3 linked regions of the Elephas maximus indicus genome follow. The protein of the gene in region 3 interacts with the protein of the main gene of each other region in a pairwise test. Links are inferred from orthologs where the notes say so. Each region holds a gene or a part of one and is shown on either strand. Other genes may lie near its edges.

Region 1 (7,878 bases), on a different chromosome or scaffold from region 3:
AAAGAAATGCTCAAGCAACCACAATGAAACTGAGCTTTGTTCAAAAATCCACTCTCTGCTTTCCTGGGCACTCTTTCCCAAACTCTTTAATGAAAGCACCTTTTAAAGAATTTTTTTCCTTAAGAAAAATTACTTTCACCAAATTATATACTACAAAATGTCATAACAATAGCTTTCAAAAAGCAGAGTTTTGTAACTTTTTGTTTTCTATTATTTCCAAACTCTAATTTCTAGCTAATAAGAAAGCACCTGTATTTTATTTAAAAGGACAGAGAACATGGCATATTCAGTAATACCCCCAATGCAACATAAGAATACAGTACTTTCCCATAAGTTCTGCTACCTACTCGTTCACTGGTTTTTTTAGGAGACATGTGACTCTGAGCAAGACACTCAGTCTCTCTACGCCTTAACTCTTGTACCTGTAACACTAGAGACATTATCAATGACTGTGGGAAAAGGGAAGCGTCCAAGGTAATTACTCACTTAAGTCCTAAACTGGAAACAGCTTAGGCGGCTCACAAACATCTCAAAATTAACACATTCAAAAGGTAGGTTTTGATTTTCATCACCCATCTGAATCCTCCCCCTGCCCCATCCCCTATTTTTCCCATCTCAGTAAATGGCACACACCTCCATCCACCCAACTGCTCAATCCCGGAACCTGGAAGTCATGCCACGTCTTGCCACTTCCAATCCATCACAGGGCCCGTGGTTTGGAACTTCAAAGTACATGTCAAATCCACCCACATCTTTCCATCTAGCAAAACCCCAAACCAATGTCCTCTTTTGCCTGGCCAACTGTATTACTGATCTCCCTGCTTCTACTATGAGGTCCCTGGGTGGTGAAAACTGCGCTTGATTTGCCCTCGAATACTAACCAAAAGGTTGGCAGTCCAAACCCACCCAGCGGCTCTGTAAAGATTAAGGCGAAGAAAACCGTATGGAGCTCATTTCTACTATGTAGCACATGGGGTCACCGTGAGTCAGAACTGACTAATGGCAACTGGTTTGGTTTTCTGTTTTCACCCTAGCCACTTTCCAACAGTGAATTGTCTCTCGCGCTCTCTCTCTCTCAGGCATACTCACCTATACGCTCCAAAACCAAAACCAAACCCACTGCCACAGAGTTGATTCTGACTCACACATTCTACTAAATAAACTCTTTAAAAACTTCTCAACTAGAAAATCAAACTATTAGAAAAACCCTGAGGGCTCTTCACAATAAGCCTCACCCACTTCTCCAGCCTTATCCAGAAGCTCTCTCCCAGTCTTATCTCTCTCCAAGCTCCTGGGATTCCCTAGTCCTTGAAATGCCAAACCTTCCACAGCACTTGCTGTTCTCTTAACCTGGAAAGCACTATTCTGTACTTTGGGTTTCAGCAACACTTAGCTTCCACCTAAACTATGGAGTCCCCGGGTGGCAAACAGTTAACATGCTCAGCCGGCATACAAAAGGTTGGAAGTACAAGTCCACCAGAGGTGCCTGGGAAGAAAGGCCTGGCAATCTACTTCTGAAAAATCAGCCACTGAGAACCCAATGGAGCACAATTCTACTCTGACAGCACACAGGGGTCACCATGGGTTAGGGTCAACTGGATAGCAACTGGCCACCTTGTGTTTGGACTGAAGTGTTCCTCTATTATTCTTTCAGGGCAACCTGTTCTGTTTTGCTTTGGATCTTTTTGGTAGGACTCCTCACCACTCATAATATGCATTTATTGGTGTATCTGTTTATTGCTTACTGCAAGCTTGCGACATGCCATAAGCACGTCTAATAGCCACCGCGTTACACACAGCATTGCAATACACATTACTTAACCCACTTCATAGGTGAAGGCACTGAGATTCTCACAGGATGAGTAACTTGCCAGTTCAAACTTAAAGAAGCTGACTCCAAGGCCTGTGTCCTACCCTCCCTTGCAGCCTTTCATGCACTTTATTGCTGCAAAATGCAACCACAGAGCTTGTTCCTATAATCATTTATGTGGTGGGCAAAGCTTACACAAATGTAAAGCTAGAAAGCAAAAACAACATCCACAGTTACTGACGGAAGATTCAATAAGATATTTCACTGTATGGCACTAGTTTTTTAGTTTTTTTTTGACCCTTTTCCTTTTGAATCCTCTGAACTGAACTGGTTATCTCAGAAACATCACACCCTGTTAATACGTATCTTGCTACAAAGGCAGTTTGGGAGATAAAACCCATACAAATGAAATCTGAAAGCTGCTAACAATAAACAAGGCTAACGATTTTCCAATATGCATTCACTGGCAATATACAGCCTTTAAGAGGATAATTTTCGTACACAATGGACTTCACCGCCTCCTACCTACAGCTAAGGTAAATGGTACATTTCATATCAACTGTACACAAGCGCACCTCCACACGAGATTACCCCGGCAAACACCACCTTGTTATTCGAAAAGCAAAGCTCTTCATCTCAAAAAAAAGTCTACACAATTTTAAGCAGCAATGTTCTAAAGGGAAGGAGTTTCTAAGACTGACTTCCCCGTGCTTAATGCAGTGGCTACCCAGTACAATGTTCTAATATCGGAGATGAGAGAATTATAAACCGTATATGAAAAGCCTTTTTCAAAGGCTGTTTTCGCAGTACTGGCAACGGCTAGCAGAAGTCTTAGGCGAAACAAATGCCGTTCAGCCCGAGTGAGCCCAGCACGGACGCCGTTTGGAAAGCAAACGACAGTTTGGAAGCAGCGCGCCCACTGGCAGGGATCTCAGACCCCGGTGTCGGGCTCCTCGGGTCCGAGGGGGCGGCGGGGCGCGGCGGGACGGGAGGCCTGAGCGATCGCAGCGACCCGAGGCCCGGACCGGCCCGTTTGGGCCGGGGTCCCACTCCTCGCGGCCCACTCGGCTTCCCCAACGTGGCCCGGGGCAGCCCCGCCGGGAGTCGGGCCGGAGGGCCCCGCCACGTGAGCCACCCGACACGGCAGGTAGCCACACTCACCTGGGCGCCGGCGGAGCCAGCGCTCCCGAGCGCAGGAGACACTGGACGGCAAGCCGAGGGCCCGCGGGAGAGGGGCGGGGCCTCGGGGGCGGGGCCCCGGGCGCCGGGAGGGGCGGGGCGAGGGTGGGGCGGGGCGCCGGGCAGCACAGGGCGGAACCCGCACCTCAGGGAGTGAGGGAAGTGGGAGCCGTGGAGAGGAGAGCGGAACCTCGCGATAACTTGCCCCCGTTCGTGCGGATTCGCGATAGGTGGGACGAGAAGCACGTTTTCCACGAGATGTGTCTATTGGCCGAGAGCGCGGCTTCCTCCACACTGGTCCCGCCCCCTGCCGGCGCTTCCGGCTCCGGCCTGGCGGCTTCTTGGGGTAGCGGGTTTTTGTTTTTCTGAAGTTGTAATTTAACCTTTTCCAGCCCCAAGATCCGGCAATAGTTAACTTTTTCTTTCATTCATGCGTTCATTCAGGCACTCGTGCTCTCGCCCAGTGCATACGTTAAGGAATTGCAACAATAATAACACCGGATGTTGAGCTGTGCGTGGGCTATCTTTTACCCCTCACAACAGCCCCTTCCCACGGGTGCTATTATCCCCTTTCGACTGGTGAAAACCTGAGGCCCGGTGGGTTTCTGTAACGTGGCCTAGGGCAGCACCGGATTTAAAGACTCGGTGGCAACGGGTTTGGTTTTGGTTTTTTTGGTGAGTACCAGGTTCCAAAGATGAAATAACCCAGTCACTGCCCTTGAAACACCGAAGATGTGTAGTGAGTTACGTATTATGGAAGTCCCTAGCATGACTGGGTAGTCCGTCAATAAATATCACTTCAAGAATCAATTTTCCTGTGTCAGTGGAAAGAGACATCAAAGGAAGACGGCTTCAAACTGCTTTGAAAACAACAACCAAGCATTGTTCTGGAATATTAAAACACATACACACATTTTTAAAATACCACGCTTGTTAATGTAACAATTTTATGATGAAGTGAAAATTGTTTTAAAAAGTGTCCTCCCTTAAAACTGCAGTTGTTTATTGGTCTTTGAAAAGCTTGATTTTGGTAATTTTCTAGAGCCTCATTGTAAAGCAACTTTATAATTAACTATTTTCAGTTTGGCTTAATTACTCTTAGATATGAATTACCTAGAAAGGAGAATTATATTTTTTAAAAACTTCCAAAACACGTTGTTAGTTATAAATTACCAATTAAATCTGGTCTTAAGTATACAGGATAGTAAATGTCATATAGTTCTAAGTGTTTTTTTTTTTTTTGGTTGGGGTAGACATTTTTTGCTAGGATTAAAATGAAGAAACCTAAAGCGTGTGTAAAAACAAATTCTTAGGATATTAATGATCAGCCAAAATAATAAAACCTGCTCCTAATACAGAAGTCACAAAAAAGGATTAACAATAGAACAACAATTTTTTTTTTTTTAAACGTGCTGATCAATGTCTGCCTCTTTGGTTTTCATTTCTTCAAAAAATTTTTTTCAGTGGAGCAATTTAGTATATGATACTTGGTCTTGAAAAATGTACCATCTTAAAAATTTTTTTTAAATAACTTTTAACACCCCCCCTCAATTGACACAAAAGTAACCAAGTGATAATTGATAATATAGTATTCTATGACCATTAATGAAAGTCTTCTCATTATATAAAGAATCAGTTTTCACATTTTGCCTTACTTAAAACAAGGGAGGAAGACCCCTCTAACTTAAGTTAGCGATTTTGCAAACTTTCACATCAGCAGGCAGCGATACCACTTTAAGAAAATTCCAAGGAAAAGACAACCCCTTTAAAATTCCCACCTCTGGCTCCCAAGGATTGGATTGCAAACTCCAACAAAATACTCTTCTCCACTTCCTATTGGTGCCTGCTCTATCACTCATTCTTCTGCCTTAAATTTTGTGAAGCACCAGGTTGCTTTACGGGAAAAGGCTCCTCTGATTTAGTCTGAAAGTGCCTACTTTAGGCTTTTTCATGGTTATTAATCTGTACAAAGAATCACAAAACTGATAAAGCGGGAACGAAACTGGTAAATCAGGCTACAAGACAACTGTGAAATTCGCTGGAAAAAGAAACGGAGAACCACTCAAGAACACAGGGTAAACTGACAAAGGATTTTACGACAAAGTTAGAGATGTGTGAGTTAAGAACCTTTTCCCGTTTTTTGCTGGTTTTAAAGGAGCAAGTGTCAAAGGAAAGCCAGAGAAGATGTAGGCATGATCTAAGGGTGACAGGAGGGGGAATTTTCAGAAGATATTTTCCTCATTAGGGAGCAGTTGAAAGAGCATCCTCAGATGATCGGTGGATTTCTGAAAGGTCAAGGGAACAAGGTGATAAGACTAATCATAAATTGTTTTCTACTCTAAGAAGCTGTGATTTGTTATTGTTTTGCTTTAACGTGGACTTATTAAAGCAAATTTAATAATACTGTAATTTATAAATGAATTGGATATTTTTGTACATTACCATACCTAGCATAAGAGACGATCCATCTATTAAAGATGTAAGAGAAAATTAGAATCATCTTTGTACCTAAATTTTGTATATATTTGTGGATTAGGAAATCCAGACCCGCTAATGACCAAACAAAACACCATATTGGCATATAAAGCAGAATCACTAAGTAGGTAATGTTAAGAATAAATTCTCAAAAAAAAATCTAGCATTAATATTTTCAAAAATGATATTTTCATTAAAACTACAATATAAAAGTATAGGAGGATATTGATAAATATGAATACATTAATTATATTAAAACTTGGATTTAGAATGGCAATAGGCAGTGATACCACTTTAGTATCTAGCCCAACATATAGTCCTAAAATAAAAAAATATAGCACCTTAAAATTCTTCAAACATTAATTCAGCTAGTACTTATAATACCTAGTGGCACGTCTACAAAGCCTAAACGCACAGTAGGCATGCACTAAATATTTCTTGAGTGCCTTCTATTAATCCATTTTGAGAAATATAATAAAATAGAGCCCCTTGAAGAAGCTCAGACTGACCCAACCCAGTGCCGTCAAGTCAGTTCCAACTCATAGCGACCCTACTGGCTGGGAGAAAAATCAGTCTCAAAACATTTAAGTTAAAACTATGAGCTCTTCTTGATGCCCAGATAACTGTTACAGACCATAGATGCTTCAAGATCTCAGGTCTGAGTAGAAATATTCAGGAAGGCCTTCAAGTAGGTGAGGCCCAATTCGGGCCTGAGCAATGGGCAAAATTTCAGTAGATATGAAAGAAGGGATGTGACCTTCCAGGTAGTAGGTGAGTTGTTAGCAAATACGTGCAGCCTTGACTTCAGCAGAAGGCTCATTTGGGAATCTTGATTTAAAAGAAAACTTACATGACCGTAGAGCCAAAAGTACCAGAATTGAGGAGTTTAGTCCTGAGTTTTGAACAGGAGAGAGACTTTATGAAAGTAATATACAAAGAAGATAAAACTGACAGTGCCATTTAAGATGGCCCCAAGGGTAGAGAACAGAAGCAAAGAAGCAAAACATTGTAAATACTAGAGTACAGATTATAACTGAGCCTCTTAAAGCATTTTGTCAAATCCCTTTACTGTTGTTGAATAACATAAATCTTCATGCATTTCTTCATACTCTTCGAAAGCTTTGAGTTTATTTCTTGTTTGGCAGTACAGATAACGATTTGGTTAGGTGTGGGACTGGTTGTGGTACAGTTAAAACAGCAAAGGTGATTATATTGTACATTGAAGTGGTTCTTTCTCTTTTGTCTCAGAATTTACGTGTGTTTTCTTGATTTTATTAAACTGAATTGAAGGAGTTACAAAAACAAAACAACAACCAAAAAAACTCCTTATGACAGAAGAATGCCATGGAAGTCTATAAACTTTTCACCTGAAATGCTCCAACGTGAAATTCCACACAAACTCAGTGAGCTGTTACAATGTGCCAGGCGCTATGTTCAATGTTAGGAAAGCAAAGGGGAGTGAAGTACCATCTCCCAAAAAAAGGGCGAAGTGCTTCAGGGACACCAAGGGAGGTGGTTGTCTCCTCCTTGTCTTCATCTCTGCAACAAAACTTGCTTCTAAAGAATTGAAGCTCATCTATCCTAAGTAATTGATGAATGGTTCTTAATTAAGTGGAAGGAGAAGGAGGAATCTTACCTGTGGAAAAGAACTGTGAGACCAGCACTCATAATGTAGATAACTCAAGTGCCACACAATAATGCTTACCCAATATTCCATTTTTTCCCCTAAATATCCGAGCCCTTTTGGCTGGGAGCAAATGAAATGTTAGCAGAAGTGATAAGTGTGACTTCTGGGCAATGGTGCTCATTTTTCCAATCTTTCTTATCTTCTGCTATGACTCCTGTTGATGTATGTTGTTGCTAGGTGCCATCAAGTTGGTTCTGACTCATAGAGACCCCCTGTACAACAGAACGAAACACTGCCCCATCCTGCATCATCCTCACCGTTATTGCTATGTTTGAGTCCACGGTTGCAGCCACTGTGTCAATCCATCTCAATAAGGGTTGTCTTAGTTATCTAGTGCTGCTACAACAGAAATACCATAAATTGTTGGCTTTAACAAATAGAAATTTATTTTCTCACAACTTAGGAGTCTAGAAGTCTGAATTCAGGGTGCTGTTTTTAGGGAAGTCTTCCTCTCTCTGTCAGCTCTGGAGGAAGTTCCTTGTCTCTTTGAGCTTCTGCTCCTGAGCCATCTTCTGTGGCTTAGCATCTCTCTTCCCCCATCTCTGTTTCTTAGTTTGCTTGTTTAATCTCTTTTATATCCCAAAAGAGATTGGCCCAAAATACACCCTCCACTAATCCTGCCTCATTAACGTAACAAAGACAACCCATTCCCAAATGGGATAGTAATCACAGCCATAGAGGTTAAGAATTACAACACATTTTTTCTTTTTGGTAGGGGGAGGTGGGG
Region 2 (7,897 bases), on a different chromosome or scaffold from region 3:
GAGGAAGATCTTTGTCTCTTTTCAGTTTCTGTTCCTCTGTTCCTTGGGGATTTTGATGTGGTATGACATATATCTTTGCCCCTCTGTGCTTGCTTGCTTCTGTGCTTAATCTGTTCTTTCATATCTCAAAAGTGGTTGGCTTAAGACACGCCCTACATTGATACGGCCTCATTAACACAACAAAGAACACTCTATTCCCAACTGGGATTGTAGCCACAGGTATAGGGGTTAGGATTTGCAACACATATTTTGGGGGGACACAATTCAATCCATAAAAATCTAAACCAAACCCATTGCTGTCGACTCGGTTCTGACTCAAAGCGACCCTGTAGGAGGAGCCCTGGTGACGCAGTGGTTAAAGCGCTCGGCTGCTAACTGAAAGGTCTGCCGTTTGAACACAGTAGCTGTTCCTCAGAAGATGTGGCAATCTGCTTCTCTAAAGATTTACAGCCTTGGAAACCCTCCTGGGGCAGTTCTACTCTGTCTCGTAGGGTCGCTATGAGTCGGAATCGACTTGATGGCAGTGGGTTTGGTTTTTTTGGTTTGGAATCTTTACGGAAGCAGTCCGCCACGGAACATCTGGTTTGCCTTGAATACCATCTTTTCCAAGAAAACTTCTATGATCATTCCCATCAGAATGAATTGCATCTTTCTTAGATGGAATGGTACTTGCACCTCTATTTGTGTTTCATTTTGTGTTGTACTGTAGTTAATGCTTTACCTTTCTCCTGAGGATGACTGTACGTTCCCTGAGGGCACAAACAGTGTTTTATCCATTCTGGGGTCCCCCAGAAAGCCTAGTGCAGGGCAGTGCACAGTAAGGAAAACAACAATTGATTGTTGTTGAAATTCATGACTTAAAGATCTGGACAGAAACCATTTGATCTGCGTCTTAGTTCTACCCCTGAGTTGTCCCCAGTCATATGGTACACAGAAGGAGAAGAAAGTGATAATTGTTTATGACTAATCTAGGGCCCAAACTCACCAATACCTTAAGAAAGTCTTGGTAGGGTATGTTAAAGAGTGAGGAAGGATGGCGGAAGAGAGTCGTGTAGGTATGGGGTGCTGCCAAGCGATCTTAGTACCTCTTTGTTCCTCGGACACTTGGATTAGTTTGTCCCTTTTAGGCATTTTTTTTATTTATATTCTCTTAGTATTAAATGGAATCCCTGGGTGGTGCAAATGGTTAATGTGTTCAGCTGCTAATTGAAAGATTGGAAGTTCAAGTCCACCCAGAGGCACCTCAGAAGAAAGGACTGGCAATCTACTTCTGAAAAATCAGCCATTGTAAATCCTATGGAGCCCAGTTCTACTTTGACACACATGGGGTGGCTATGAGTAGGAATCAACTCGATTGCAAGTGGTAGGAAGGTACCCAAAACCAAACCAAACCCACTGCCTTTGAGGTAGGAAGGTTAAAAAAAAAAAAAAATGTAGTGTTAAATAGTAATTAGTTATATGGGCCTTAGGAGTCCTGGTGGCTCAGTGGTTAAGCATTTGGATGCTACTGAAAGGTCAGCGGTTAGAACCCACCAGTCACTCAGTGGGAGAAAGACGTGACAGTCTGCTTCCAGGAAGATTTACGGCCTTGGGAATCCTATGGGGCACTTCTACTGTCCTATGTGGTTGCTACGCGCCGGAATAGACTCGACAGCGGCTTGTATGGTTTTTTATATAGGTCTTAGTTTTAACAAGGAGCCTTGGTGGCTTGGTGGTTAAGAGGGCAGCTGTTTACCAAAAGTTTGGCAGTTCAAATCCACCAGCTGCTCCGTGGAAGCCCTACGGGGTAGTCCTGTAGGGTCTGTCCTGTAGGTAGCTGTGAGTCTGAATCAACTTGATGGCAATGGGTTTGATTTCGTTCGGTATTAACAGGCTGTTCTACCGATGTGGTTTGACCTCTGTTAGTTACACGGACACTGTAAATGAGCGACATGAAGTTAAAGAATTTAATATGACATTAGGTTGAAATGGATTAAAAATTTTACATAGAGGAATATGCAGAGTAGCTATGTTTACAATGTAGAGCATACTTATTTTTAGATTCTCTGATATTGGATTTAAATGTGCTTTTTCTATTTTGTAAGTCAAAGGATTGGCCTAAATCTTTTATCTGAGTGTTTAGGTTTTATAGTGACAGAAACCTTATAATGACTAGAAATAGAAATTCCATCTTTAGGATAATATAATAGAGGAATGTGAGAAGAGAAGGTCTTAAGGTGTTGTTAATGAGCAGAAATTCAAAGCACATAGTCTCAAAGCAATTAAGGCTGTTAATTGAATATGTGGATGCACAGTGGGAGGGCTTCTATGTTGCTGGACAGGTTACCCTGGGTTTATATAGAGAAGTGACACTCTACAAATGATGTCGAAAAAATTCAGAAAGAACAAATATGCGTCCAAATATGTTTGTCTGGTAGTTAATTGCATTTATGAATGGCGGTAGAGTGTTGGATATATGCAACATCGTCTATTAACTGCAAAATTCAATCTTTGATCCTTTCTTGCTGTCAATATGGCACACTTAAAGAAAAGTGTACAAGAAGGTTTATTGCCATGGTGATTTTGTTGTCTCTATCACTCCTGTGATATTATAAATACAATGCTGGTCACACCATGGCTACAGCGTAGCATCTGTGCACATCTGAGGGCACAGCAATGAGCTCAGAGTGGCAAAGTGATTTTATTATTGAGGTCCTCCACTGCCTTTCATGGGGTACATTAGCTGTAGCATCTGATTAATGCATGAATAGATTTCTAAGAAGAAACTGTAATAAACTTTTCAAGATTGTAAGCAAGTTTGCAGCAAATGAAAGAGAAATGAAATGTTAGAAGAACCTTTGTGGGAAGTGATTAATGTTTTGGGTAGTGCTTTTTTTTCTTTTTAAATAGCTACAGCTTTAGCGCAAGTTCCTGGGTAGTGCAAATGGTTTGCACTGGACTACTAACCTAAAGGTTGTCAGTTCAAACCCACCCAGTGGTGTCATGGAAGAAAGGCCTGGAGATCTGCTTCCATAAAAATTATAGCCAAGAAAGCCCCAAGGAGGAGTTTTACTCTGTAACGCACGCAGTCACCATGAGTCGGTATTGGCTACACTGCAAAGGGTTGATTTGTTTTTCGTTTGCTGATACCTTTAGGGTAGACTTCTGCTTCTGCCAATCTCAGGCTAACTAAGGCGCAGAGGAGAAAGGACGTCCACTAAAGAACACCCAGAAGGCAGTGAGTGAGGGGTGAATTCAGCCTCCCTCTCAGACTGGGTCCCTCCTCAGTGCAGTGGCCAGCTTTCCCTTTTGGGGAAAGAGGAATGACAGGACTGCTTGAAAACCACAGATAATCCTCAAAGCTAAAACTGGGCAATAGTTTTCACCTATTTTGCTGAACCTTCTAGAAAATGGCAGAATTAATTGACTTGAGCTTTTTTTTTTCCCTCCTTTTACCCACTTTCCAGAGAACTTGTGAAGCGGCTTTTAAAAAAAGTGGAGAGACTTGAGCAGGCAGTGAAGGACAGCAGCACAGAACCTGGAAATCCCCACGCAGATAAGCTGTGTCCTTGCCTGAGGAACTTGGCCTGCAGAAGGACCATATGATTTAGGGATGGGCTGCTGAAACTGCTAACAGACACCAGGTGCATGAGCAGAGCAAATAAAACACACACTGTCCTTAAGGCCCAAATCTGTGCATATTATGCACATACGAATCGAAAACAAACAACAAAAAATCCCAAACTCGTTTCTGACCGGTCCGACTCATAGTGACCCCAAAGAACACAGCACAACTATCCCATAGAGTTTCCACGGAGCGCCTGGCAGCCGAGCTCTTAACCACTATACCACCAGGGTTTCCATTATGCACATATACCTCCTAAAAATATAAGATCACCTGGTTCGGGGTTATTGGCTAGGACTTTTAAAAGGCGTTGGAACAGGGGACAGACGCCACTGACACCGCATTGGAGGTATTTTTACAGTACGATCTCCGGATCCAGAACGTTCCTGTTTGTTATGCAATGTGTGCGTTTCATTGTTGACACGATTTCACCGGGCCCTTGGGAGTTGTGTACACAGCAAGCTTGCCTGTAACAGCACCCCAGACTCTGAAACTACAACCATACACCCTTTCTTTATTCCCTTTTACCGCCCATGCCTTTGAAATAATATTTTTCCATAGAGAAAGCTCCCTAAATTATATCCGCTTCTCTAGTTAAAACACTTTTTCTTATTTAAGAAGTTTACTTTTTAGGGACTACAAGTTTCTTGGAAAATTCTCCTTACTCAAGTTTACACTGTGCTCTAAGTAAGTGTTAAAATATAAATGATAACCGAAACCACCCATTGCCGTCGAGTACTCTGTAATAAAGTTTCCGAGCCGGAAACACTCTTTTATTTGGGGGGGGGGGGAGTGTATCCTAGCCCTGTTTTCTCCTACCCCCCACCCCGTTTTCTCCTACCTGTGGCCACCTATCTCCCTCCTCCCCCATCTCCTGCTTTTTCTTTCTTTTTGATGATTCCTGGTTTAGGAATGAACAATAATATGGGCAAAAGCCCTTGGTCTAGTCCCTGCACATAGCAGGTGCTCAATAAATGCTCCTTCCCTGCTCCCCCACCGGGGGGCGTGAGGGCTGACCTCGGGGTACTGGGGTGGGGGGTTCTGGAAGTTCGCGCGGAAGACAGGTTAGGAGCCCCTGTGGGACAGCAGGATGGGCGGAGGAAGCAGTGGGGTCGTGCTCTTTCTCTCGCCTCGGCCCCATCGCCCCAAGCGCCGATTCCTGCTGTCCACCCGTGGTGGGTCCCCCGCCACCGAGCGGAGGGGGCGGGTCCTCGCGTGCCAGACACGCCCCAGCCGGGTTTATAATTGGCCCGGCGCGCGCTGCCAGAGCTGCGGCCGCTCCCTCGCCCGGTGGAGAGTCGGGGTGCGCCCTCCGCGCCAGGACGCACGGCACTGCGGCCGGACCTGCCCGCTCGCCCTCGCGCTCTCACTCCCTCACGTGCGCTCACGCTCCCTCCGCAGCTCGCCTGCAGGCTCCCTCGCTCGCCCTGCGGAGGCGGAGACGGCGCCGGCGAGGACGCCGAGGGGACCCGCCGAGCTTCCCATGGCTGACCTGAGCTTCATCGAAGATTCCGTCGCCTTCCCCGAGAAGGAAGAGGATGAGGAGGAAGAGGAGGAGGGTGTGGAGTGGGGCTACGAGGAAGGTAACCGGCCGTGGGTCGGCTGTCCGGGGCCCCAGAGGCTGTGCGCCGCGTGGGTCTCCCCGCGAACGTGGGCTCTGCGCTCTGCCCGCGTGGCGCGCTCGGAGCACCCCCGGGTCCCTTCTTTTCCACGTGTTTCTCCACAGCTTTCCGACTCTCCCGGTCCGTTCTGGCGCGGAAGGCTTTCCGGGGAGGGCGGGCATCCCGCCGCCGCCGCCGCCGCGACTCCGGTGCGGGGCTGGCTTCCCTCGGGGCAGCGGGTCGCACCTGCCGCCTTCCGGAGGGCGAGCCTTAATGCAGGGGCTCTGCCGTTTCAGATGCACGACGACCCCGAGCTCTGTCCTCTGAGTAGCCGGGGAAAGCATTTTACTTACATTTTACTCAACATCTTGATAGTACAGTGCTAGCAGTGGGTGGTGGAGTGAAACTCTTCGTTTCTGCTTGCCGTGAGGACTCTGAGGACACAGTATTTCTGACTCTGCTCTTGTCCTGAAGGACAGTAGTAACGCTCAGCTCTTTCTAAAACATGCCGTAGATTTCAGACTGAACCAGTGGGCTTGGCAAAGAGGTTGACTTTTAAAAAAATTTAGTGTCCCGACCATTAGGGCTGATGTTAACTACATAAAAAAACTACATCATTGAAACAAATATAGAACTTAGAATTTTAATTATAAAAAGTATGGAGTTTATGTATATATTTTAATATGGACACTTCAAAATATTCTTATTTGCATTTATGAAAAGTAGAGTTTATTCACTGACATGAAATGTAGTTTTTGGCTCTCACCCAGAGTGTTTAAAGTATTTCCCAAGTACTGAACACAGTTAAACTAATGAGCAGAGGAAACTTTTATGGTGTTACTTGTTTCTCATCATTGAAAGGAGCCCTGGTGGAGCAGTGGTTAAGAGCTTGGCTGCTGACCAGTAAAGGTCGGCAGTTCGAATCCATCAGCAGCTCCGTGGAAACCTTGTTGGGCAGTTCAACTCTGTGCTGTAGGGTGGCTATGAATCGGAATCAGCTCAACAACAATGGGTTTGGCTTGGTTTTTGGTTTTAATCATTTAAAAATGACATATTTCGTTGAGTCATAAGTTATTACATCTGTGTGGGCAAGTAAAAAATATGCTATTTTGTTCATCCAGGGTTTCGTATGCGATGTTTCATAATATTATTGCATTTGAAATATGAATGCAAAAATACACGTACACCTTGCATATGTCATCTTCATAGAGCTGGTAGTCATGACCCTCTTAAAGCCAAGGGACACTGACTGGATCATAGACCTTCTACGTAGGCAGGCAGATTTTATTTGGCAGTGTCCTGGTTTTTATGGTAAGTTTTGCTGTAACTTATTTTACTTTAGTCTGTTCTTAATTTTGCCCATAGGTGTTGAGTGGGGCTTGGTGTTTCCCGATGCTAATGGTGAATATCAGTCTCCTATTAACCTGAACTCAAGAGAAGCCAGATACGACCCCTCACTGCTCGATGTCCGCCTCTCTCCAAATTACGTGGTTTGCCGAGACTGTGAAGTCACCAATGATGGACATACCATTCAAGTGATCCTGAAATCAAAATCAGGTATTTGAAAAGATGCTCTTGCATGCTCTTCTAAACTAGAAGTCATGGTGGAGCTATTGAACTCTCATTGTTTAGCCTGTATGATCTAAAAGGTCAAAGTAACATAGCTCTGTTTTATATCAATACGTTTATATATTACAAGGACCCCTGGTGGTGCAGAGGTTAAGAACTCAACTGCTAACCAAAAGATGGACAGTTTGAACCCACCAGCCGCTCCTTGGAAGCCCTATGGGGCAGTTCTGCTCTTTCCTATAGGGTTGTTATGAATCGAAATTGACTGGATGGCAGAGGGCTTTTGGTTTGTATGTATTATAAAATGCATTTTTTAAATTATTTTCAGAAATATTTTTAAAAGGGTAAAAGGATGAAATTGTGAAGATGTCAGCTTGGTTCTTGTATGACATTACTGGAACAACCTTAGTTTGGTTAATTTACACTTTATGAAATCTGAGGAAGGTATATCCAGGAGTACCTAACTGCATTTTGTCCTAAAGTTTTTGCTAGCTTAAGTTATTTAAGTAATTACAATTCTCTGATTTACTACTTAATTTGTAAAACTAAATTTTAGGATTTATCGACATAACCTGGCATCCAAGTTAAACCCTTCGAATTATTTTTTTCTGCTGTATTAATGAGGAGGATTTTAGCAAGCAGCAATCAAGAACACCTGGCATCTCAGCAAAAGATTTAAGTGGAAGAGCCCTTGCTTTTATTACTAAAAAGCAAACAACAACAACAACAACAACAAAAAAGCCTTTCTTAATCTATTTGAGATGGATCTAGAATATTTTAAGGAAAAGGTGCTGGGTAATGACTATGGAAATAGGTTGTTGTTTTAAATGTAGGGGAGAGAAAAGCAAAATTTTTAAATTAGCATTAATGTCATGCTTTTCATAATGAATAATAACTCCCTCTTGGAAAAAAATATAGAATTAGAGCATGTTGAAATATTAGGAAGCGCTTGGTAAACAGAAACTGAATGTACTCAAATTAATTTTGAATCGATAAAGTCGATTTTTCAAATCATAAAATCTTTAGGTTTATTATTAGTGCAGGTATTGATTTCCAGCTATGGCTATTTTCTTCATCATGAATGTTTCTGAGCCTTAATTTAGAATCCGTGGGATAGTTGCAG
Region 3 (6,881 bases):
CCCTGCTATTAATGCTGCCCCTAAAACCTGGATTTGCTTGTGGCTGCTTCTACTACCACACAACTATGACAATAAATTACCTGTCTTTGCATCTTTGAATCATTCCTTCCAGATAAAGTGTTAGCTGGAGTTATGCAGTAAAGTTTTGACATATCAGATCCAGGGTGTTCAAATCCCATGCATTCTGAAGAAAGGTCTGGCCTTTGACCAGCTTCTGGGAGGCAATGTCTAAACCCTTGAAATAGCCTGCCTGATGAGTGTCTTTGTTCACCTGGGGTCTTGGGCCATGGCAGATAGTTTATTCCAGCAATGTAATTTATGGAGGGGACTTTCAGCCAGGCAATATCAGTTTGACCTCTGGAGGGGCTGGAGACTGAGTAATTAAGGTCAGCCACATGGGCACCCCATGCCTATATGACCGATCCCCAGTAGAAACCCTGGAGACCAAGGATCAGATGAGCTTTAGTAGTTGACGAAACTCCATTAAGTATTGTCACACATCATTGCTGGGAAAATTAAGTGCTATCCATACAACTCCACTGGGAAAGGACAACTGGAAGCTTATGCCTTGTCTCTGGACTCTCCCCTATGGGCCTTTTACCTTTGCTGATTTTAATCTGTATCCTTTCACTGTAATAAACCATAACCATGAGTTTAACAGATTTTTTAGTTCCTTGAGTCCTTCTATTGAATCATTGAACATAAGCGTGGTCCTGGGGGCCCCTGATGTACTGGTAAATCCTAGATCACATTTTCTTAGTTGCCAAGGGAATATGAAGAAACGACTATCTGGGTTTTGCAGTTGGAGCTATTGTGTAGTATAGAGTACATGCTGTATTACCTTACTAAAATGTGAAAAAAAAAACTTTGTAATAGAGATGACCCCAGGGGTTTTCGATAAGTACCTGTAGGTCTGTATAAAGACCTCCTACAAATCAATAAGATAAAGACAGGCAACCCAAAAGAAAAATGGTCAAAAGATTTGCACAGGCACTTTACAAAAGAAATACGGTAGGTTCATTAATATATGGAAATGTGTTTCAACACATTACTTATCAGAAATGTAATTAAAACACAAGGAGATACCAATACATACACATCAAATTGGCAAAAAATTGGCAAATTCTCACAATACCAAGCACTGAACAGTTTAATACTTTGTGGTACATCCACATCATGGAATATTATGCATCAATTTAATGGATCAAAAGTAGACTGGGGATTAGTAAGATAAATCAGATGCATAAAGTGTATATAATATGATCTTAATATTTGTAAAACAAAAAAATTACTTTTGAGCATGAATGGATATAAAATTGCTTGTTAAAATGCATGTTTGAAAAGGAGGATGAGAATGATTGCACAACTCAAAGAATGTATCAGAGTCACTGAATTGCACATGTAGAAAATGTTGAATTGATGTATGTTTTGCTGTACATACTCTCAACAGAACAACAAAATAAATTTTAAGAAATGCATGACTGGCAGGTAATGGTAGAGATGAAAGACAAGTGTAGGAGGCAATAAACAAAAGAAGGCAATTTAAAATATTCATAGCCTGTATAATGCCATTTATGTAAGAATATATAGACATGCATGTATAGATATGTATACATATAGTGACGTATGAAAGGGTTGCATAAAAATCTTAATAGCAGTTATCTCAAGGTGGTGAAATTTGGAGTGATGTTTACTCAATTTCTAAGATATTTAGGTAATGTTCAAATTTTTAATGATGACCACCCATTATTTATATAATGAGGAAAGAATAAGTGAATTTATACAGAAAAGAAAAAAGAATGTCTCTCAGATTTCTTGCTTGAACAAGTTGGATGGTGGGATTCACTGACTGAGCATGTAAATATGCCAGGTATCCTTCTAGGAGCTGGGGATGCAACAATGAATGAAACAAACAAAAATCCATCTCCCTAAAGGGCTTACATTCTGATGGGGAGAGAAAGAGATGAACAGAAGAGAAGCACACAGTGTTGGTGGGGAGGGGGCTATATACAAAGGAATCAGTTTGGGACATGCCAATTTTGAGGATACCAAGAAATATCCAATAGAAGGAGTAAGGTAGGCAGTTGAATTACGAATGTAGAATTCATAGGCCAAGTCAGGAGTGGATACAGATTTGGAGGCAGAAAACATATAAAATGGTGTTTCAAACCCCTTTTTCTGAGTCTGATCACGTCCCACTGCAGACACTTTACAGAGGAAGTGCTGAAGAAAAACAGGCAGCTGACAGAGGAGGTTGCTATGCAACAGATGAGGAAAGTCATCCAACCAGGCAGAATTGATATTGGCCCTTGGGGATCAAATGTTGCTGTCCTTCCGAGCATTAGTTTCCTTTCATATGCAGGCATCTGGCAGGAATTCATGCCAGAACAAATGTGAAAAACAAAGATCTGGCTTGGATTTTGGGAAGGTGTTTAATTTGAGTTACATCACATCTGTCTATTATTTCTGCCTTTTTGAGTTTCTCTGTCATCCAGGAAGCACAGCGGCATGTGTGTTCTTGTGTCTCCCATTTCTACATATTTAGAAACTGGGGTTCAGAGAGGTTGAGTGACCTGAGCGGCCTCACACAGCCAGTGACAGACAGGCACAGCACTTCATCCCAGGAATTTTGAAGCCCAGCCCAGCTTCATTCCATGAGACCAGAGCTGCCCCAGGCCCCAGCCCTGGAAGGAACCAGAACAAACATTTACTCTGAACCAGGGTTTACACTAGGTTAGGGTTTCCCATGGCTCAGACGCACAAGGGCCTGATTGTCCTGGCTGCTCCAGTGAGCACCAGGGAGGCCTCTGGGACAATGTGTTCATGCCACTCACAACTAAGAGACCTGACAGTGGAGCTATTCCCTTGGAGCAATTCCCACATCTGAATGGACCCACATAGAGCAGTCAGGGGGCGGGGCTGGGTTCTCTACCTGAATTTTCCTGAAGGCAGAGCATGAGCTTGGACCACCAGGAACACAAAGCTTGGCTTTTTGGGACAGATATTGGGGGCTGTCACCCCCAACCAGCGGCACATGGCGTTGGAGTCTGAAAGACCCAGGCACAAATTTTGTGTTTACTGTGGCCTTGTGTAGTTCATTCACCTTGTCTGTAGCTCAACTTCCTTATCTGTAAAATTGGGATGCTGACATCCACCACCTAGGGCAGCTGCGAGAGGAAAACAAGCCCCCGGACAGATCCTGCTGTGTTGTACAAGCTTGCCCCTCCCTCGCCCCTACACACACACACACACACACACACACACACGCGCGCGCGCGCGCGCACACACACACACACAATCCAGCTGGGGCTGCGCAAAATGGCAGGGAAGAAACTAATGTTCTACATTAGTCTGGGAGCTAGTAAGGAAGCCATGTAGAGTCACGTGGCAGGCACAGATAACTGCTTCCCCCAGTAGTGTATCCTTTCTGGCCATTCCTTTTTCTGGGTCTAGCACTTGTCGCAATTAGAGACCTCACATAGAAGAGACCTCATCAATAGTAACCTAAGGAGCGCCGGGCAAGGGGGTGGAGATTCACGCGGACCTGAGAGGAGGAGCCTTGAGAGGGGTGGGATAGAACACAGACGCATTGCGGAAAAGGTAGGGGGTTGGTGTGTGGGGCAAGGGGTGGGGCCAAGAGGCACTGCGCATCTGCTGAGGGATGGGATGTAGCGTAAAGGGAGGGATCGTTGTATACTGTCGATCTGGTTGGTGGTGGAGTGGTGTGTTGGCAAAGGGGCGGGACTGCCTTCCAGTGCACATGCGCATCTTGATTTTCAGGATGAAGCTTTTGTTGGAAAAGCGGGCGGGACTCTAGTTGGTTGTTCAGCGTTTGCGCATGCGCACAACGACCTGAGGCGGTGGGTGGTATATTAGGCCAAGAGGCGGGGTCGCCCAAGCTGCCGCGCTGGCATTTTCTCCTGGACAGGGAGAGGGTGCGGCTGCTGAGAGCCGAGCACTGCAATCCAGATCCTCTGAGTCTTGAAGAAGGGAGACAACGAGGGGGTTGGGGTTGGGGCCTGAGGCAAGGTGAGAATTAGCCCCCAGACAGGGCATCTGCCCCCTGGTGCGGGCCCCCATTTTTTTTTATCATCTTATCCCGGATTCTGAACCCCTTCCTCAAACCTCGATTCACATTCCCCACCCCATCCTCCCTGACTCAGAAGCCCTGTTCGCTATCTGAACCCCTGTCCAGTCCCTCCCATCGCTCGAAATCTCCACAGATTTCTCGACCTCGATCTCTACTGTAACACGATTCCCTCTAATTCGAAACCTCCATTCAACTTCCCAAATCCCGATGTGATCCCGAATTCAAAACGCTCATCTGCAACCGGAATCCCTTCAGTAGTTTCTCGGGATTTCCATCTGGACACTCAGTTCACTTTTCCCGCCCGGATCTGGCCGGTTCCCCTCATATTCGGCACTTCATCCGCCCCCGTAATCAAACCACAGACCCTTTCCCTCAATTCGGACCTTCCTATTTGCCGTCTCCAGTTTAACCCCCAGCTCCTCCCCCACAACCCCCCCCCAGGCTCCACTCTTGCCAGAGGGACTGGAGCCATGGCTCAGAAAATGGACTGTGGTGCAGGCCTCCTCGGCTTCCAGGTGAGATTTCAGCTCCCTAACCCACCATTTCCCCAGCCGCCAGTTCTCCCTGGGCCCCTTTGGCCACCCAAATGCCTGAATCTGATTTTGCCCTCTTTGTGCCTAGACTCTGTTGACTTTCAAATTCTTATCGGTTATTGGGGGGGGGGGGCGTTCCTTTTCAGCCATCAGTCCCTGCTCAGAGAAAGGGGAGACCCTGTTAATAGTCAGGGCAGTCTGCCCAGAGACTGCAGGTTGGATGAGGAACCATTTTTTTCTGGAGTCCTGATGCTTGTAGAGCAGTCTGCCTCCGCCTCCCCCAAGACCGTCCTCCACCTCCACCACCCCTGTCTCCTGCATTCCCCACTCCCTGCGACCCTTCCTTATTCTCCTCAACTCACTCTACCTCCGACCCTGAAGTCCTACTGTAGGCTTCACCCTCATTCTCACTCCGCCCCTACCACCACCACTTTTGTTGTGGTTCTGCTCCTGTCAGGCCCCCTAGGTCTCCACCTCAGCCCTCCTCCTTTTGCACCAGCTGGCCACCTGCACCTCCCCTGTCTGCTCCTCCCACCCTCCCACTCCTCCTTCAGAGGCCCAGAGATTTAATCCCCTCCCCCCACCCCGTATTTACAGACTGAAGCCTCTATGGAAGACAGTGCCTTGCTTATGCAGACCCTTATGGAGGCGATCCAGATTTCGGAGGCTCCACCTACCAACCAGGCCACAGCAGCTGTCAGCAGGCTGAATGCAAGCCCCTCGAGTTCACAACCTCCGTCTGCCAAGGAGATGACTGACATTCATGTTGTAGCAGCTGCCACTAGGCCTAAAACAGCCCTTAAGGCCCAGAATGCCACCACAAAAGGCCCAAATGGTGCCTATGATTTCTCTCAGGCTGTTAATGCCAAGGAAATGCCCAACACCCAACCTAAGGCAAGCTTTAAGCCCCAGAATGCCACCACAAAGGGCCCAAATGTTGCCTATGATTTTTCCCAGGCAGCAACCACCAACAAATCCGAGATGGGTTTTAAAGCCCAGAATGCCACTACCACGGTGGGTCCAAATGCCACCTACAATTTCTCTCAGTCTCCCAATGCCAGTGAGATGACCAACTCCCAAACTAGGACAGCCTTCAAGGATTGGAATGATACCACCAAGGCCTCAACAGCTGATACCCAGACCCAGAATGTTAACCAGGCCAAGATGGCTACTTCCCAAGCTGACATAGAGACCAACCCAGGTATCTCTGAACCTGAGGGTGCAGCTGCACAGGCATCAGCAGATGGTTCCCAGGCTCAGAATCTGGAGTCCCGGACTATAATTCGGGGCAAGAGGACCCGTAAGGTGAGATCCCTGCTAGGTCCACTTTGGTTTGGACTCTCTCCTTTCTTCTTTGTGATTGTTCATTTGTTATAAACAAAAAATGTAATTGCCTGTATTCTGTTAGATTGTAGAGGATATTGAGGTAAATGTGATAGTTTCTTTCCTCAGAGTGTCCACAGACTGATGAGATAAGACAATGCTTACAACATGGATATAATTTTATTTGTGTTTTGATAGTAGCTACCATGTGTTAGGCCTAGAACTAGCCACATTTATACAAATTATCTCAATTAAATCTTGAAGGTAACTCTTTATCAGCTAGGGATTATAGTCCCAGTTTTACAGAGAAGGAAGATGAGTCCCAGAAAGGTGATATGACTTGTCCAGGGTGGTACAAGCAGTGCCAGTGGTGGACACAGGAAGAGGAGAAGCCTCAGGCCCCACCCTTGGGTTGTTCCTGGCCTGATTCGGAGATGAAACTCCTGCCTGGAAGATAGTGAAAGACAAGCCTGGGGCTAGTGGGTCAGGCTGTCACTACAGGTGAGGGTTTAGGAGGCTTTCCCAGAAGTGTTAGGGTGAGGACATAGAACCATCTGGTGACCCCTGACCTTTTTTCTCTCTGATGATGCAGATTAATAACTTGAATGTGGAAGAAAACAGCAGTGGGGATCAGAGGTGGGTCCCACTGACTTCAGGTACTTGGAGGTCTGCACCAGTTCCAGTGACCACTCAGAACCCACCTGGCGCACCACCCAACGTGCTCTGGCAGACGCCATTGGCTTGGCAGAACCCATCAGGCTGGCAGAACCAGACAGCCAGGCAGACCCCATTGGCACATCAGAGCCCCCCAGCTAGGCAGACCCTACCAACCTGGCAGAACCCAGTTGCTTGGCAGAACCCAGTGATCTGGCAGAACCCAGTGATCTGGCAGAACCCAGTGATCTGGCCTAATCCCATTGTTTGGCCTGGCCCAG

What was found. The genes of interacting proteins can lie anywhere in the genome.
Region 1: the proteins of MAGED1 (region 3) and TTC23 interact in binary tests that used the Homo sapiens proteins (3 or more experiments, as listed by UniProt). The two-hybrid records come from large-scale screens. The link is inferred for Elephas maximus indicus from reciprocal best matches to the Homo sapiens genes MAGED1 and TTC23.
Region 2: the proteins of MAGED1 (region 3) and CA8 interact in binary tests that used the Homo sapiens proteins (3 or more experiments, as listed by UniProt). The two-hybrid records come from large-scale screens. The link is inferred for Elephas maximus indicus from reciprocal best matches to the Homo sapiens genes MAGED1 and CA8.

The regions. Positions count from the first base shown.
Region 1 is NC_064831.1:90,663,400-90,671,277, reverse strand, and holds the start of TTC23 (tetratricopeptide repeat protein 23), read left to right. Parts: upstream 1-4,866; 5' UTR 4,867-5,064; exon of another isoform or gene 5,065-5,099; coding exon of another isoform or gene 5,100-5,103; exon of another isoform or gene 5,104-5,295; intron 5,296-7,878. UniProt on the Homo sapiens protein: Participates positively in the ciliary Hedgehog (Hh) signaling.
Region 2 is NC_064833.1:83,388,269-83,396,165, forward strand, and holds the start of CA8 (carbonic anhydrase-related protein), read left to right. Parts: upstream 1-4,885; 5' UTR 4,886-5,087; coding exon 5,088-5,187; intron 5,188-6,570; coding exon 6,571-6,762; intron 6,763-7,897. UniProt on the Homo sapiens protein: Does not have a carbonic anhydrase catalytic activity.
Region 3 is NC_064846.1:116,594,299-116,601,179, reverse strand, and holds the start of MAGED1 (melanoma-associated antigen D1), read left to right. Parts: upstream 1-3,879; 5' UTR 3,880-4,029; intron 4,030-4,531; 5' UTR 4,532-4,560; coding exon 4,561-4,605; intron 4,606-5,220; coding exon 5,221-5,928; intron 5,929-6,538; coding exon 6,539-6,881. UniProt on the Homo sapiens protein: Involved in the apoptotic response after nerve growth factor (NGF) binding in neuronal cells. Inhibits cell cycle progression, and facilitates NGFR-mediated apoptosis. May act as a regulator of the function of DLX family members.